Oreochromis niloticus: one gene and its partner. The protein of the gene in region 2 purifies or fractionates together with the protein of the main gene of each other region. This does not show direct contact. Links are inferred from orthologs where the notes say so. Each region holds a gene or a part of one and is shown on either strand. Other genes may lie near its edges.

Evidence for each region. Proteins that work in one complex are often made in the same cells at the same time.
Region 1: the proteins of eif2ak3 (region 2) and tbl2 purify together in Homo sapiens (affinity purification with western blotting; 3 studies listed by BioGRID). This does not show direct contact. The link is inferred for Oreochromis niloticus from reciprocal best matches to the Homo sapiens genes EIF2AK3 and TBL2.

Annotation. Positions count from the first base shown.
Region 1 is NC_031975.2:24,301,783-24,309,336, reverse strand, and holds the start of tbl2 (transducin beta-like protein 2), read left to right. Parts: upstream 1-4,542; 5' UTR 4,543-4,642; coding exon 4,643-4,769; intron 4,770-7,249; coding exon 7,250-7,371; intron 7,372-7,554. Other genes in the region: pom121 (nuclear envelope pore membrane protein POM 121), read left to right, coding at 1-98, 662-762.
Region 2 is NC_031983.2:7,554,253-7,561,930, forward strand, and holds the start of eif2ak3 (eukaryotic translation initiation factor 2-alpha kinase 3), read left to right. Parts: upstream 1-4,655; 5' UTR 4,656-5,102; coding exon 5,103-5,410; intron 5,411-7,678. Other genes in the region: rpia (ribose-5-phosphate isomerase), read left to right, coding at 145-286, 1,450-1,549, 1,644-1,741. UniProt on the Homo sapiens protein: Metabolic-stress sensing protein kinase that phosphorylates the alpha subunit of eukaryotic translation initiation factor 2 (EIF2S1/eIF-2-alpha) in response to various stress, such as unfolded protein response (UPR).

The DNA.
Region 1 (7,554 bases), on a different chromosome or scaffold from region 2:
AACGTCAACACCATCTTTTGGCCAGAGTGCTGCTGCAGGTCCAATTCCCTTTGGAAGTCCTGGAACTCCACTCCAAGGCTTCAATGCTGTTCAGTTTGGTAAGGCATCAATTTTCTATTTTTTTTATCTTTTAAGAGGTGATGCCCTGCTGAAGCGTGAGTAGGGATGTGTGACTAGACGTTTAAAAGGTTGTTGCTCTCAAGTAGCTGTAACCCAGTGATGTTAGTGTGTTAGTGTGTGTTAGTCTTCTGGTTTTATTTAGTGAGAGTGCAGCACCATCACAAAGTTTTATTGATACATTTGTTAAATTACTCTATACCTCTTCTGTTGGTAATAGGATGCTACACTGTAGCATTGTGCATTGCAATGTAGTGGGATTTAGCCTGTTTATCTACTGCTGTGAGGCCAAAGTGGAAACACATGGGTTCTGTTATTAAAGGTGGGCTTGAGGCAGGCTGATGGGAATTTTTATTGCAGCCAAATACTGAAAAGCATGTTGCCTCACTATAAGAATTCCTTGTCAGACCTGATATTGATCCTAATTTAGATGAAATTAAGAGGCGGTTTTGAAGTTGGAAAATTTGATGCCACTGTTAAAAACTGGATACTTTGTAGCAGAAATGGTTACATATCCATATGTTTTATTTTTTATTTTGTTTAGGATCTCCAGCAACTCCTTCCTTCTCAATCGGAGCTGGATCGAAACCATCCGGAGCACGGCAGAGGCTGCAGGCGAGGCGACAACACAACAGGAAGAAGTAGCCTGCCACGTTGTTCCAACAACGCATTCGGAGGACTCCAGCTGTTGCTGCTATGGCTAACCTGGCTAACATTGCTCTGTTCTAAGCCCAACATCCCACCCCATCAGGCTACCACCATACCCTATGCTTCCTCCCTCTCCTCCTCCAGTGGGTTGTGCTGGCCCGAAGTTTGCAGATGAGTTAGAAAGAGCACATTAGCCTGCTGAGTCCATGACCCAGTGAGGGAATGCAGCAGTAAAGAGAGAGAAACCACAATGATGTACTATACTTGAAGAAGGAGAAAAGACGATTTGATAGATGCTGAACATAAGCATATCCAAAGTTCTTTTTCCTTTTACCGTACACGGACACTCCCATTGGTTCGTCTTAAGGAGAAAGTTGAGTCGAGCTAAAGGTGGAGCTGCGGCTCAGACACTTATTTTTTTACGTGAAACGCTCGCTGGTTTGTATGTTACCTGAATATTTGAGTACATTCTCTGACTGAGTCTGAATGGGATGAAATGCACAGTCAATTCAGATAAGGTACACAACACTGCAGTGTAAATGTAAAGTTTGCATTTAAATTATTTTTTTAATTGGCTCTCTGACCCTGTAAATGAATAATGTGTTTCTGCACTTAAAAGGGCGACTTAGTAAATGTCTTAACGTAGTTTGTGCAGACCCTTGTGTTCTTGTTTCGTACTCTTTGTCATTGCAAGCATTCCCAGAGTCCTCCTGTGGATGGCCTTTTTTGATAGTGATTGCCAACTGATTGAATTAGCAGGTCAGTATGTGAGTAGGATGAGTACTCTCGACTAGCGCTGACAAACCAAAGCCAACTCTTCAGCTTGTTCCCTGTGAAAAGAATCTTGAGATGAGAGTGTGCTTGTGTGTGTGTTTGTTGTGCCAGACTACCTCTCTTTGCGCCCAGGCACTGAATCCTTGTTAATTCACTGAAACGTAACAAATCTGCTAGAATCAGTTACATTTTACCTTCAGCCTACCTGCTGTTAATGCACATGGAACCGTGATAAATGGTGAGGTTTTTAAATATCTGCACAGCAACACATTGTCCCCACTTCAGAAATGTCACTGCTACCTTATGTCAGATTTACAAAAAAATTACAGTCTGTTCTATTGGATCTCTCACAGCGATACAGGGATTTTTTTTGTTTTTATTATTATTTTTGTTTTTGAGCGTGCAGCAAACATGGACAGTAAAGCAGTTGATGTCAGCTGTTTTATTCAAATGATCTCTGTTCTCAGTAATCACCTCTTATTGTGAAAAGTGAGCCGTTACCAGTTGTTTTTTTGGGGGGGGGGTTCTTTCTTTGTTTCTTCTTTTTTTATTTTTTTTATTTGGATGGTCAAATTTGAATAAATAAAAATGTGAGTTTTGGATGTGGATGTTCCACATTAAACCTTTAAAGATTGCCAAATTTTCTTCCCAAGACGTGGAGGCTATACTTCGTACTGTATATTAGCAGTATGCTCTGTTTTTGTAGTGGATAAACAAGTATTGCTTGGTAATGTTGCAGGAAGTTAAAGAGGACCTGTTATGATTGTTCTTATTTTCTGTCATGTATATACTGTTACAATAGTGGATCCTCATATTAAACTTGGCCAGAGTTTCGAGTAATTTGTTCACTCTATGAACAAGTAAATCCTGTCAGGCGTCAAACTTCTCCAAACGCACAGTTTCTGATAGTTGGGGGGTTTTTTTCTACTTCTGGTTGTATGATGTTCATGAGAGGAGTAATCCTTAACACCTCTCTTTGTGAGGGGCATCCAATCAGGAGAAAGTTGGCTTAAAGGGGGGTTTGCTCCACATGGTGGATGAACAGCAGAGCAAGAGGAGAGAGTGATTCTCTATGGAGTCTGGATGTTTTCTCCAAGCTTCTGTGGGTTTCTCTTAGGCTACGTTCACACTGCAGGCGAAAGCGCATCAAATCCGATTTTTTCGCCCCTATGCGACCCGTATCCGATCTTGGTATGACAGTGTGAACGGCACAAATCCGATATTTTCAAATCCGATCTGGGTCACTTTCGTATGTGGTACTGAATCCGATACATATCCGATGTTTTAGAAAGCGACTGCTGTGTGAACGGTCAAGTCGCATTAAATCCGTCTTTTACGTCACTGACACAAGACAGACGCCAATTATCAGCGCCGGAGAAGCGCCCGATAAGACATCGCGAACGATTTCCTACCATCCGGTGAAACTGTTGGGAAGACAATGTTGGAGAAATGTGAACATTTTATTTTTACTGTATTTTCTGCAGATTCTGACAGAAATCTGCAACTATCCTTTGAAGCACCGCTCCTCTAAAACAGCAAAAAGGATCATTATTAGGTTATTTGCATTATTATGTAAGTAACAAAATAACTTAAAGCAAAAATCTGGAAACATAAAGTCCGAAGTCTTTATATTAAGGGCCATTAGTCAAACAATATTGTTTGCTCTGGGTCTAAACAGAGCGCGTTGTGTGTGACATCTTCTTTTGCGCATGCGGGCCGCTTTGAGCGTTCACACTAGAGCGCGTTTGATGTCTCATTTTATGTGTAGTGTGAACAAGCAGACAGAAAAATCGGATTTGATCAAAAAATCGGAATTGAGCATTAAGACCTGCAGTGTGAACGTAGCCTTAGGGAATTCTGGTTTCTCCCCTGCCAAAAACATGAAACACATTGGAAAAATGCTTTGTTAATGACACGCTGCTTACAGAACAAGAATGTCAAGAATTGATATCCAACACACTCCGAGAGATCTAAGTAGTGTTTTACTGGGAACTGTGTCTATGAGTTAGTCCCAATAAATTTAAGTGATTTAATTTCAAGAAAGCTGGAGTTGAAATCAGATTGAATATAATGTCAGACTATATACAAGTCCAAACTTTGTATTTTATTTCTTCTCAGAAAATAATCACAGTGCATTTTAAAGCATATTTGGAAGTATTACCACTTGCCACGGAACAGTAAACGGCTACTTCCCTGAAGAATACATGCTTTTACTTTAAATATTTCAGGTATACTTGATGCAAATATCTAAATCACATTTATTTGGGCTTGTAGACATGGTCAAAATGAAGTTCAACTGAGCATGGGGGTGGGTAATTTAAGAAACTTTGAAAGGTGAAAATGCCTGACAACTTTGAACTGATCCGAAAACTCATTTAATTACTTGTTACAAACACAGGAATGCAGAGGAGCATCTCTGAATGCACAGCATGTTAAACCTTGAAGTAGGTGGGCTAAAGCAGCAGACACCCAACAATCAGTGCCACTCCTGCCAGCTCAGAAAAGGACACAGAGGATACTCTTCACACGGGATAGCAGAAAATGGACAGTAAAAAACTGGAAAAAAATTTGCCTGGTCTGGTGAGTCCTGATTTTTGCAGCAAAATTCAGATGGTAGGATATAAATTTTGGTGTAAATATCGTGGAAGCATGGCTCCAACTTTTCTCCTGAAAAGTTTTCAAACATTCCACACACGCCAGTCCGCTAGGTGGCATTAAAGACGGTTGGAGACCCGGATTGTGCTGCATTCATGACTACACCCAGAACAGGAAATGTGAAAATTGTGGCAGTTACGCTAGATAACGCCGTTATAACTAAGAAAAAAACGAAAACGAATAATCTAAGAGATTAAGTTGTCTTTTAACGTCATGCTAAAATCATGCAAGCCAAACTGACGGAATGTTTATACATTTAAAATAAACTATATATGTTTCACGGAAATGTTTGGAGGCGGGGGGTTCTCGTATTTACTACTTGCAGTCGTAAACGTGAACGCAGCCTTAGATGAAGCGTACTATTAGGACGCATGCGCGGTGCCCCAGTCGTGAGGGGTTAGTTTAGGAGACGTTAGCGTTGCAAAATACGTGGCAGAAGGGTGTCGACATGGAGATAGCTGCTCTGGCCGCGTTAACTTTGTTACTGGGTGCATTGGTTATTCTGGTTGCGTTAGCGGTGGGCAGACGGAAAGAAGAAATAAGAGAAGAAACGGAGCAGGCAGCGGAGTTTGCCGGTAAGAGCCACTCAGGCTAACGTAACTCTAGCTAGCTGGAGAAGGGGGAGACTGTGGAGAAGGCGGCAAGTCAGTCATACTGCATTCATTCATTCACTTACTCAGTAATTGATTCATTCAACAAAAGAGCTCCGTGCCAACGATATTAACACGAACTCAGAGCTAGAAGTAGAAGCTACGGTAACTTTTGAGTGGCTGTGACTGTCACATTAACAGACCAATGGGTGCACTGCTTTCTGTCGAGTCACTGCCTGTTTTTTAACGCTTCATTGATGACAAAGGTTCAAATCGGTATCTGTAGCACGTGACATTAGTTAATGGCAACACTAAGACTCTTATACATGTGAAGTAGAATAACTCACTGTATAAAGATAGTACTTAAAGGTTATAAAACAGAGGAAGGTTAGCACATTCATCTGATGTTGAGTCTGTTTAACTATGTTTAAACAAGAAGTTACATGAAATAAAATTTTGGACTAATAAAGACGTAGTTAGACTATTATTTTTTCTCCAGGTAATAGGATTCAAAGTTTATAATTGACTAATAATACATCTTGATGCATTCTCAATCATCCAGGAAAGTAAATCTCCAAAAGTTGAATCTGTTCATCTGGACGTAGCGTTTTGTGGGAGAAACGTTTCGTCACTCATCCAAGTGACTTCTTCAGTCTCAGCTGACTGCAGGTTTCCCCAAACCTTATAAACAGTACAGTACATTATGCAAATGTACTGTTTATAAGGTTTGGGGAAACCTGAACAGATTCAACTTTTGGAGACTAATAATACAGTAATAATCCTGGGCATAATTTTATAGCCTTGGAGTTAATCACTTTAATAGTAACTTATTATAGTTTTGTGTTGTCTAAATAGGTTTTGTTTGTGTTTCATTTTGAATTTTGGTTTTCTTTTGAGGTTAGTTTGAGTTATTTTGGATGTTTTAGTTTAGATTTTTATCCATCACATCCATCCATTTTCTTCCACTTATCCCAGACAGGTTGCCACTCTTTTGCTGGGTTAACTTAGAGACCAACAACTGTCCATACTCACATTTACACCTATGGCCAATTAAGAGTCACCAGTTAACCTAATGTGTATGTCTTTATACTAAAGGAGGACGTTAAGTAGTTCGTTTTTTTTTTTTTAATTTATTTTGGTTACTTTTTCATTTTATTAGTTTCCAGTCGTATAGCTTATTTTTACGATTTTCTTGGCTTTTAATTTAATTTTAGTTCACTATAATAACCATGCTGAGAGTGTTTTTCCACATTCTGTTAACATTATTGCATGCAGTGAATAGAAAACCTCCCAGAGCTAATTCCCTGATTTCCAGAGTGTTTTGGGGGGATTGTCATGATGCCAAGGATTGGAAAATTACACATAAATTATCTTTTAGCTGTTTGTTAATGCTTCATAACACCCATATCATGTTCAGAAATAGCATAACCAACAGTTTATTCTAAAATGAAATGTGTGGAAATAAAACTTTTTTTTATGTTCCTAGCCTTTTCCCTATGACTGGGCTTTGACATACATGCTAATGTACAGGCTTGTTGAAGAAGATCCATAAACAAGAGCTATCCATCAATGATCTTTCCCCAGAGATAACTGATTCATAGCAGCTCACAAGAGTACATTGTTATTGTTAGACTACACATAAAAGTTAGATACTCTTATATTGTTAGTAAAATTACACAAGACCAACCACACAACTTAATTAAATAATGATAATAGAAAAACTTAATAAAAAATAAAGAAATAAAATGGAAACCTAAAAAGCAAAATGAACATATATATATATTTTGTTTATATTTATGTTAGAAATTGTGCAAAATTACAAATTCTCTATGATATGTTATATGCTATATTGATTGACTGATTGATTGATCATACTTTATTCATCCCAAGGGAAATTGGGTTAAGGCTGCCAGCCATGCCAGCGCCGTCCTACCCTTCCGACCATACATACATTACACAAACATCACATGGGGAAGACAGGTCAGAGGGGTATAACATGGAAAAGCACAACACGAGGAAAGATAAGGAGAAAAAAATAACTCCCCCCAGACTGAGCTCCAACAGGGAGATCAGTTTGAGAACAGAAAAAAAACACCTCTGCACATAGCACATGAAAAAAAACTCTAATACACCAAAGAAACACATGACAAGCAACAGGGATGGGTAAAGGGTGAGAGACAGCCAATGTAGACAGTACATCCGGGCCTGCAGCCTATGCGCTGGTCTCCATGATCCACCGTCAGCATCGGAAGGGAATAAGCATTGAACAATTTGGGGTTCACTATCTTCCCCAAAGATACTTTGGCATGCAGACTGGAGCAGCCAGTGATCAAAGCAGCAAAGTTCCAATTAGTAGAACTGCTTATTCTGCTGATATACAGCCATCTGAGTAATAGTTTGTATATATCCTTTTAAAATAGTCTTAGTGGGCATCAATGGTCATGTTTTTCCTGTGTTTCTTCCAGCTGAAGCCAGTGCTGTGAAGGGTTCCCAATCCAAGAAGCAGAAGCAGGAGAAGCAGCGTGGTCGCAAGGATAAACCTACACAACACACTTTCAGCCATCTGCTGCTGGCAGCCTCTCTGAAGGTAAACTGAAACAATCATCAAACACACACATTGTAAAAGCCTCAGAGGACAAGGAAGAGTTTTCATAAGAGACTGGAGTTTGGTTTGTTTTAAGTCACTGTAGGTTATGCGAGTTAAAAGCCTTGCTTTTGTTTTGGTCTGGATGCAGATCAGCTCAGTGAGCTGTTCTGAAATAATTTAACG
Region 2 (7,678 bases):
CACATCCGGTACTAAATAAGACACTTTAAGTATTAAATATTTGTGTTTTCTTTTACTAAAATAAAAACGGGTTTTAGACTGATCTGTATCTATGTGAGGATCATTCGTCCAGATTTGATTCATTCCCTTTCTCTACAACTCCAGGAAGGACTCCATAGCTCTGGGCCAACAGTGGAAGAAAGGAGTTCCCATTGAGGTTATCCCCATGGCGCATGTTCCCATCTCCAGAACGATAGCAAAGCGTTTTGGAGGCGAGGCTCACTTAAGAATGGCTGTCAGCAAAGCAGTAAGTGGACTGACTCTAACATCTGTGACATCTCAGCTGCACCTCTTTGTTTCATTGCTCACAGCTTTGCTCTGGTTTTCCTCCTGGATTTTCATTCCGTGGATCTTAAACTTACCATTGAACTTTTAGCATTAATCAACAGTTAAGAATTTAACTTTAAATTTAGCCATAGGCTGTGTATAAAAGAGACATTTCAGTGGCAGCATATTGGTTAATAACCTTTGTTTGCTCTTGGTGACTTGTGCCTGTTGTTTGTCCCGACCAGACTTCCATAGGTGCTACACCGCAGTGACTGATCCCCATTTTCTACTTTTATTAGCAACATTTTAACCCTTCCCATAAAACGGAATCAAAAATGCTGCCGTTTATATCAGCCTGATGTTGCCTGTGTAGCTGGCCTGAGTGTAAAAGGTGATTTGAACCCACAAACAATAACCGTGACTTTACATTTTCTATATGTCATTTACTGGACTTGGTGAAGCGGGCAGCACATGGTTAAAAGGTTTTTGAGTAACTTTGAGGAAGACCTAGTGAAGACTGCTCACATGCTGCTGTGGACCAGATCATTGGCTGCAGTGCCTGTAGTGTCAATCCAGTGCAATTAACTAACTGCGTGGCCTCGTGAGTCGGCTTCATTAGAGGCTTGTGACAACTGTGTGAGACTGAGGAAAGTTTACACTGAAATCGGAGGGCAAAACCGCCTACACAGGCACTGTAACTGCCTCATTAACACTCTGCAGACTTTAATGATTTGCCTCCTACTCGGTTCTTTCAAATGAACAACATCCAGCGAGAGACGGGAGCCTCTGTTTATTATTCCAGCTCTTAATGTTTTCATTGCTCTTTTTTTTTTTTTTTTTCTCCTTTTTTTGTACTGTTGAGCCTGGAAACTGTTTTGAGTGCTAATGAGTGGGACAGTTTGTTTACTCACAGATCCTTGACTCAGACATGCTGTTATTTAATTAAAACTTCCTTTATAATCGTGCACGATCACTTAATAATTACATGTGGCAGACCACGCTCGAGCGTTTTGTAAACTGCTAAAGAGAATAATTATATTTCCAGCACCCGAGATAACACGCTTTGCGTGTGTTCCCGTGCTTTGCTGCTTCACCCCGTGAAGGGCTTGTGGAGTGACTTGGTTATGTATTTGTGGCTTTCAGGGTCCCGTGGTCACTGATAATAGCAACTTCATCCTGGACTGGAAGTTTGAGCATGCTCAGAACTGGAAGGAAGTGAACACTGCAATCAAGATGATCCCAGGTGAGGAGCTTGGGACGTGTCTCATTCTTGCTGTAAGTATATTGGTCCATCCATCAGTGTTCAGAGTGCTCAGCCTGTCTCTGTGTGCTTACAGGTGTGGTAGAGACCGGGCTCTTCGTGGGGATGGCTGAAAGGGCCTACTTTGGCATGGAGGACGGAAGCGTGCAGGTTCGGGATCCTCCGGTCAACTGAGTTTTCCACAATTGGCACCATCTCACTGTGCTCCTCTTTCTGAATGACCTCACCGCTCCCACAAGTGCTGCACAGCCAGATTAGGAGTGCCTTGACATTAATAAAAAAAAGAAAAAAAAAAGAAGACATTTTTAAAGGAGCGAGGGGGGGGGGAGAGAGAGAGAGAGAGAGAGAGAGAGGGGGGAGAGAGAACACGAACTAGTTTCCCTGCTTTTGGAGGGATGGCAAGAACTACTAATGAATATCCAGATTTAAGCAGCAGGAAGCATAAAATGATCTAGTGCAGCTATGAAGCCTCTGGAACTGTGTTACAAAGATGCACAATATAAAGGTGGGGTGTAATGTAAGTTTCCTTGTTGAAGAAGCCTAACATGACAAAACAACACAAGCTGTTACCTAGTCCCTTTTAGTGACACTATATGGGTGTATTGTATCACTGTAAATACATCAATATTGTGACACTATGTTGATGTATTTCCATGACTGCAGGTTACAGATTACGGACTAGAGGCCACCCTTGTTGAGGTGTATAACGGGTATAAAATCTCTGCATTTCGAGTCCACTGTGTCACAACACTGTAAAGTTGCTTTAGCAGAGCTGTAGGTGTAAGTGTTCATTTCACTGGCTGGTAGGAAGCAGCTATCTGGTTTCCTGTCCTGAATGAAGACAGACTGGGAAATATATGTGGTTTCCTTTGAGGTTCCACAACTGTTCCTGTAAAGTTAGACTAATCATTGAACGTTAAAGTCCTCAGACTCACTGTTTGTCCAGGGAAAAAAAACAAAACTAATGCACGTACACATCTCCTTCCTCTGTGTCTGTTCTTTTTGTGCCTGTATGTCACCTGCATGACGGTTACTTATCCTTTACACGAGTCATCTGGTCACTGAATGCCTCGTCCCACTAACATAACTTGAAGTAGGTAATGATGGTGTACAGTCATGCTATTTAACTTTGGCGTGCTGTAGATCATGTAAATTTCACTAGGACCATGAGTACCTTTTGTGTCTTGTAATACCAAAGTAAGTGTTCTTTATGATTCAAGTAGCAAAAGTTTATTACATTTTCACAGTTGAATGCCTTTAAAATATATTCTTTTAAGACAGAAGTGTTGTCAGTGTTGGTGAAACTGTACATCTTCATAGTTCAGTTTATAGCATGGAGTCTGTCCCTTGAAGAAATGATCCCTTATGTCATTTTGTGGCCAAGTTACTGTCTCTGCCTGCATCAGCCATCACATGTTGTTCTTATGGTTTTCAAATTCAGCTGTTTCTTCGACTTTAGACTCACTATTCCTTACACTGTGGTTTCATTTTTGTGAATGTGTTTTTGTTTTAATGTATAAAACTGAGAGACTCTGGAGATGGGCAGAGCTGTGAAATTCAAGATCAAGTCATGCAAATGCAGTTAGTTGGCAAATATGTTTAAAAGCCACTGTGAAGTGCCCACACTCGGATCCTATTCTAATGTTATTCCAGTCTTATAAATCAAATTCAAGTGGCCTGGAGATGAAAGGTTAAGCAATCTGGGAATGTGTTTGGAATATTTTTGCACCAGCATATTATTATTATTTTTTTCCATTCTTTTCTTTACCAGTTGACTGTGATTATTATTTTTGCTGCAAAGGTTCTAATTTCTTTGTCAACCAATACAGGACCAAAATTATAACCCAATGTCTTGTTTTATTTTTTTGTGATTTTTAGTGTGAGCATAGTTGTTGCCACTTATTTCCCTTTATTTAAAGCTATTAACCAATAAGTATGATTTCTGAACATGAATTGACTTTGACCTTGTCAGTCACTGTACAACAGGTACACAAGGAACAAAATTTCATTACAGTTGGTTAAACATGATGAAATATAATAACCATGTTAAAATATGTTAAAATTGTATAGCAGCAGAAATCCTATAACATGCAAGGGTAGGGACAACAGAGCATGAAAGAGGGATGAGGATGCAGTGATGTCTGTGCCTCGAAACAAGCAGCGCTTGGGTGCAATGTCTTAAATGGAGGGAAGACGAGCCTCAGTGATTTTCTTCCACCATCCTCGCCTCTCTTCAGTCTTGCGTGGCCCACAGACTTCATAGTGTGGTTGGTGGTCATGTGTCAGTCATCAGCGTGAACAGCACAGGGCTCAGGGTGGTGTTCTCCAGGTGTGCACGGCTTCAGTAAAGAGCAGAGGAGATTGTGTCCTCGGTGGAACAGTTTAGCCAGTAGACAAACTGGAATGAATATAATAACGAGCTGTGCTCGAATTTGTGCAGAGTGCAGGAAAGTACCACCATCCTATTTGACCACAGGGAGGCGCTAGAAATTCAACCTGCTTAGTGTGCTTAAGGTAGTTTAATGCCAGCACACCAAAATGTTCTATATACAGACTATGAGCTAATACCCTTATGTACAATAAATAGCTAAACGCGTCTTTTGTATATTGAGCAACTGTAAATGCTTTGACATGTTTACAATAACTTCTTTAATATATATATTTATAACACATAAAACAAAAAAAAAATATGTTCTGTAATGTCATGGAAAGCTTTGAGCTTTTCTCCTGTGACTGAGTTATAGACGTTATGTCATTGTTATCTCTGTTTAAACGAAACTGAGAGCGATAACTCGTGACCGGGACCAGGAACTGCACCGATCTTGTACACTGAAGCCACGTTGATGCTTTCATGTTGGCTATCTTGACAACAATTCATGAATGACAGCCTAAATATCCAATCTAGTTGTTCCATTCAATCACCCAGGACGCAAACTGACCAATAACGTCCCTGCCTGTCAGACTAACCTCTCTTATTGGTCAGACTACGTCAACTCGGACCAATCACAGACCCGCTACGGAATTCGCCATCGAGGACATTTTTGCGTCACCTTTTGCTCTGGTCGTCGGGCAGCCGTCAATGCGCTTGCGTGGCTGTGACAGACAGCGGATTAGCCAATGCAGTACACTGTTTGGGAGGCTGGGACTTCCTGAGCCCACCTCTTTGAGTGACAGATGGGTGGTGCAATGGTATTCTGCTTAGTGTGCGAGTCTAGATGGTTGACAGCAAATTATCCAACGAGAGGCGGATTCATGAATTTTTAACAAACTCAGGGATTTCACTAACCAATCCTAGTGTAGAAACAAGGCGGGATTTAGCGTTACCAAGGCAAGTCGAGTCCAGTATAAAGGCAATAACATGGTTTCCCAGTGGCTGTTTATGTTTACTTAAAGAACATCTCCGAAAAGGGCGTTTTAGAAGACACAGCTTAGTTTTCTGTTTTAACTACAGTTTTTTGGACCTTAAGTTTTTTTATGTTAAGATTTACAAGGCCAGTGGCATGTAAATCTAATCACTAATGTGCCAGTCTTACAAATGGAAAGGGGGCTTCACTTTGGAAACGTGAGCATTTCCCTGGTGCTCCTCTTGTTGCTGAAAGCGCTCATCGGATTCGGGACTTCGCAAGCTCAGGGCTCCGCCATCGGGAGGGTGCCGCAGTCCACAACCGGGGGTTCAGGTTCGACCGCGGCGGAAGATGGTGCAGGAGTCATGAAGCGTGGCTTGGAGAACGTAGGCACCTCGGTCATTGGAGCAGACGTTACCGTGGAGGACGACGACAATGGGTCAGCGGCGGAGGCAGACGAATCACATGGAGAAAGTAACGGAAGCGTCAGACAGACGAGGTAATTATAAAAAGAGTTAGGCACCAACTGACAGTAAGTAACTACACATTCATTATCTCACACCGTTTCTCTAGCGCCTACAAAATAAGGACGACCCCTAAAATAACAAACACACAAACTAGTAACGCCTCCCTCTCCCAATTTATTTGTAAAGTCAGTTTAAACTTTTTACTTTTTTTGTCAAGCGATACTTTTTCATTAGTATTTCTCCGCCGAAGCGGCGCATTCAGAAGTTACTGGGGAAGTGTTTGTTTGTGTCCACTTTGCTCATAAACCTGTTTTTACTGCGTGCTATAACAGGCAGCCTTACAAACGGTGCCAAGAAAATAATGCGACAGAAAGGTTAAGTGCAGTGTCATAGCACAGAAGAGGAAAATGAAGTGTTTGTGAGCGAGTTTGGTATCGTGTCCGATAATGGACGCACACCGTAGCAGATGCGCTTATGCCCAGCTAACTACAGCTAGCTCTGTGTTCATGTTTTTATCTGGTGTCGGCAGTTTTGATAAGTTGCTAACATTTGGGTTACATGTCAGGGCAAAACGCGCTCGAGATAACTGACAGGAAAGTTTGGTGTACGACGAATAGCTTCTTCATGCAGGCTATGGAGAAAGTGGCTTTTCTATAATCTGTTGTTATTTCCAACCGCGAAAGAGGAACACGTTATGAGCTGAAGTGCCATGGTTGCTTTTGGGGGTTCGCTGGAACTTTTGATTATCTCTGAGGAGAAATACAGGCAACTATGAGCACATGCTGTCCTAAGCTCGGTTGAGTTTATCCGAAAAGAGATCTGAAAGCGTCCCCAAGTTACATTGAATGGAATTTATGTTCCAAGTGAAATGCAGCTGCTGCTTTCTTTGCAGATTTAAAATGCAAGATTCGTTTATTATAAAACGATAGAGCAGGAGAACAGTGGTAACTGGTAACCTCCCCTCCTGTCTGTAGATAATCTGCTTCACATTTTCATGCACCAGTCTGTTTATTATGCTCTTAACAGTTGAGTTGGACACTTTGCATAAAGCGTTTGTGTTGATCTTAGCGGTTTAAAGCTGTAGCAAAGTGGCCCCGGAGAAGAGGCATGTAAAAGTATGCAAAATGACAAGCTGTTGTTTGTTTGACAGAATAGGAGTTCAGGTTTGCTACACCTTGCTGCTGCTGCTGCTGCTGCTGCTGCTGGGTGGGTGGGTGGGGGGTTTCAGACACACCTGAGACCATGCTGCATGTCATTGCTTTAACCTCAGACATGAAATACAACCCTAACGTGTTTAGCGCAGTTGCATTTTCACATAACACCTTGAAAAGGCATGCGGCACTGCTGAGAAAGTCCCCTGGAAGCTGCCAGTGAAAAGTTTACAGTCTGACACAGACCACATGTTTACCCAGTCCTGTTAGATTACTGCTGCTGCTGCTGCTGCTGCTTCCCAAAGTGAGATGCAGTTCACACTGCATCTCGCAGTGGGGAGGGCATTGATTTTGTCTTCCTTGGTAAACAGTAGGTTTGACGCCCACCTTAGATGTTTGGCGCAGTGTGTTCCTTTTCTGTTCTTTCATCTTATTTTTACCTTTACAAGTCCATTACACCCACTTTTTGAGTGTAATATAGCTCCTTGAATCAGGATTATATCAGCACGCTTTCTTGCTTTAGGTATCCAAGGTCCTGAGGTCCTGTAATAAATTATTCCCTATGTATTATTCTGAATACGCTGTCTGTTTTCCTGAGGGAGTCATAACATCGAAAACCTTGTTAAGGTCGAACCTTTTGAAGATGCGCGGTGTCGTTTCATCACCTTAATGTTCGAGCTTGCTGCCATTGTATCTACTTGACGGCTGAAACGCAGCGTGCCGCCAATTTTCTGCCAACCTTTTTTACACCTCAGGCTCACTTTAAAGTTTTCTGACAAGACCCGAAGCGCCGTGTGTTAGCCCTGGGTGTTCGATGTGCTATATAAACAATGCTCTTTCACAGCAGGGAGCTACTCGGCATGCTGTGTAGTCTGTCCCACCATACTCAAGTCAAGAGGTGTAGTTACTTGGGTGGGAAAAATGAAAGATTTCACAAAATCTTTCGGCGTACTGCCGCACTCTTTTTACACCCTGCGCAAAGCCACAGTTTTACCAGGGTAAACTCTTGGCATGAGGGCAACACAAAGGCTCCTTCCTGCCTGGCATCTGCCGTACAATATCAAGACGAACGTAATTAACAGGTAGAAGCAGAATATTCCCCTGCCAGTCACCTCAGCTGCTGCAGGAAAACTCCTGAGCGTTCACCCT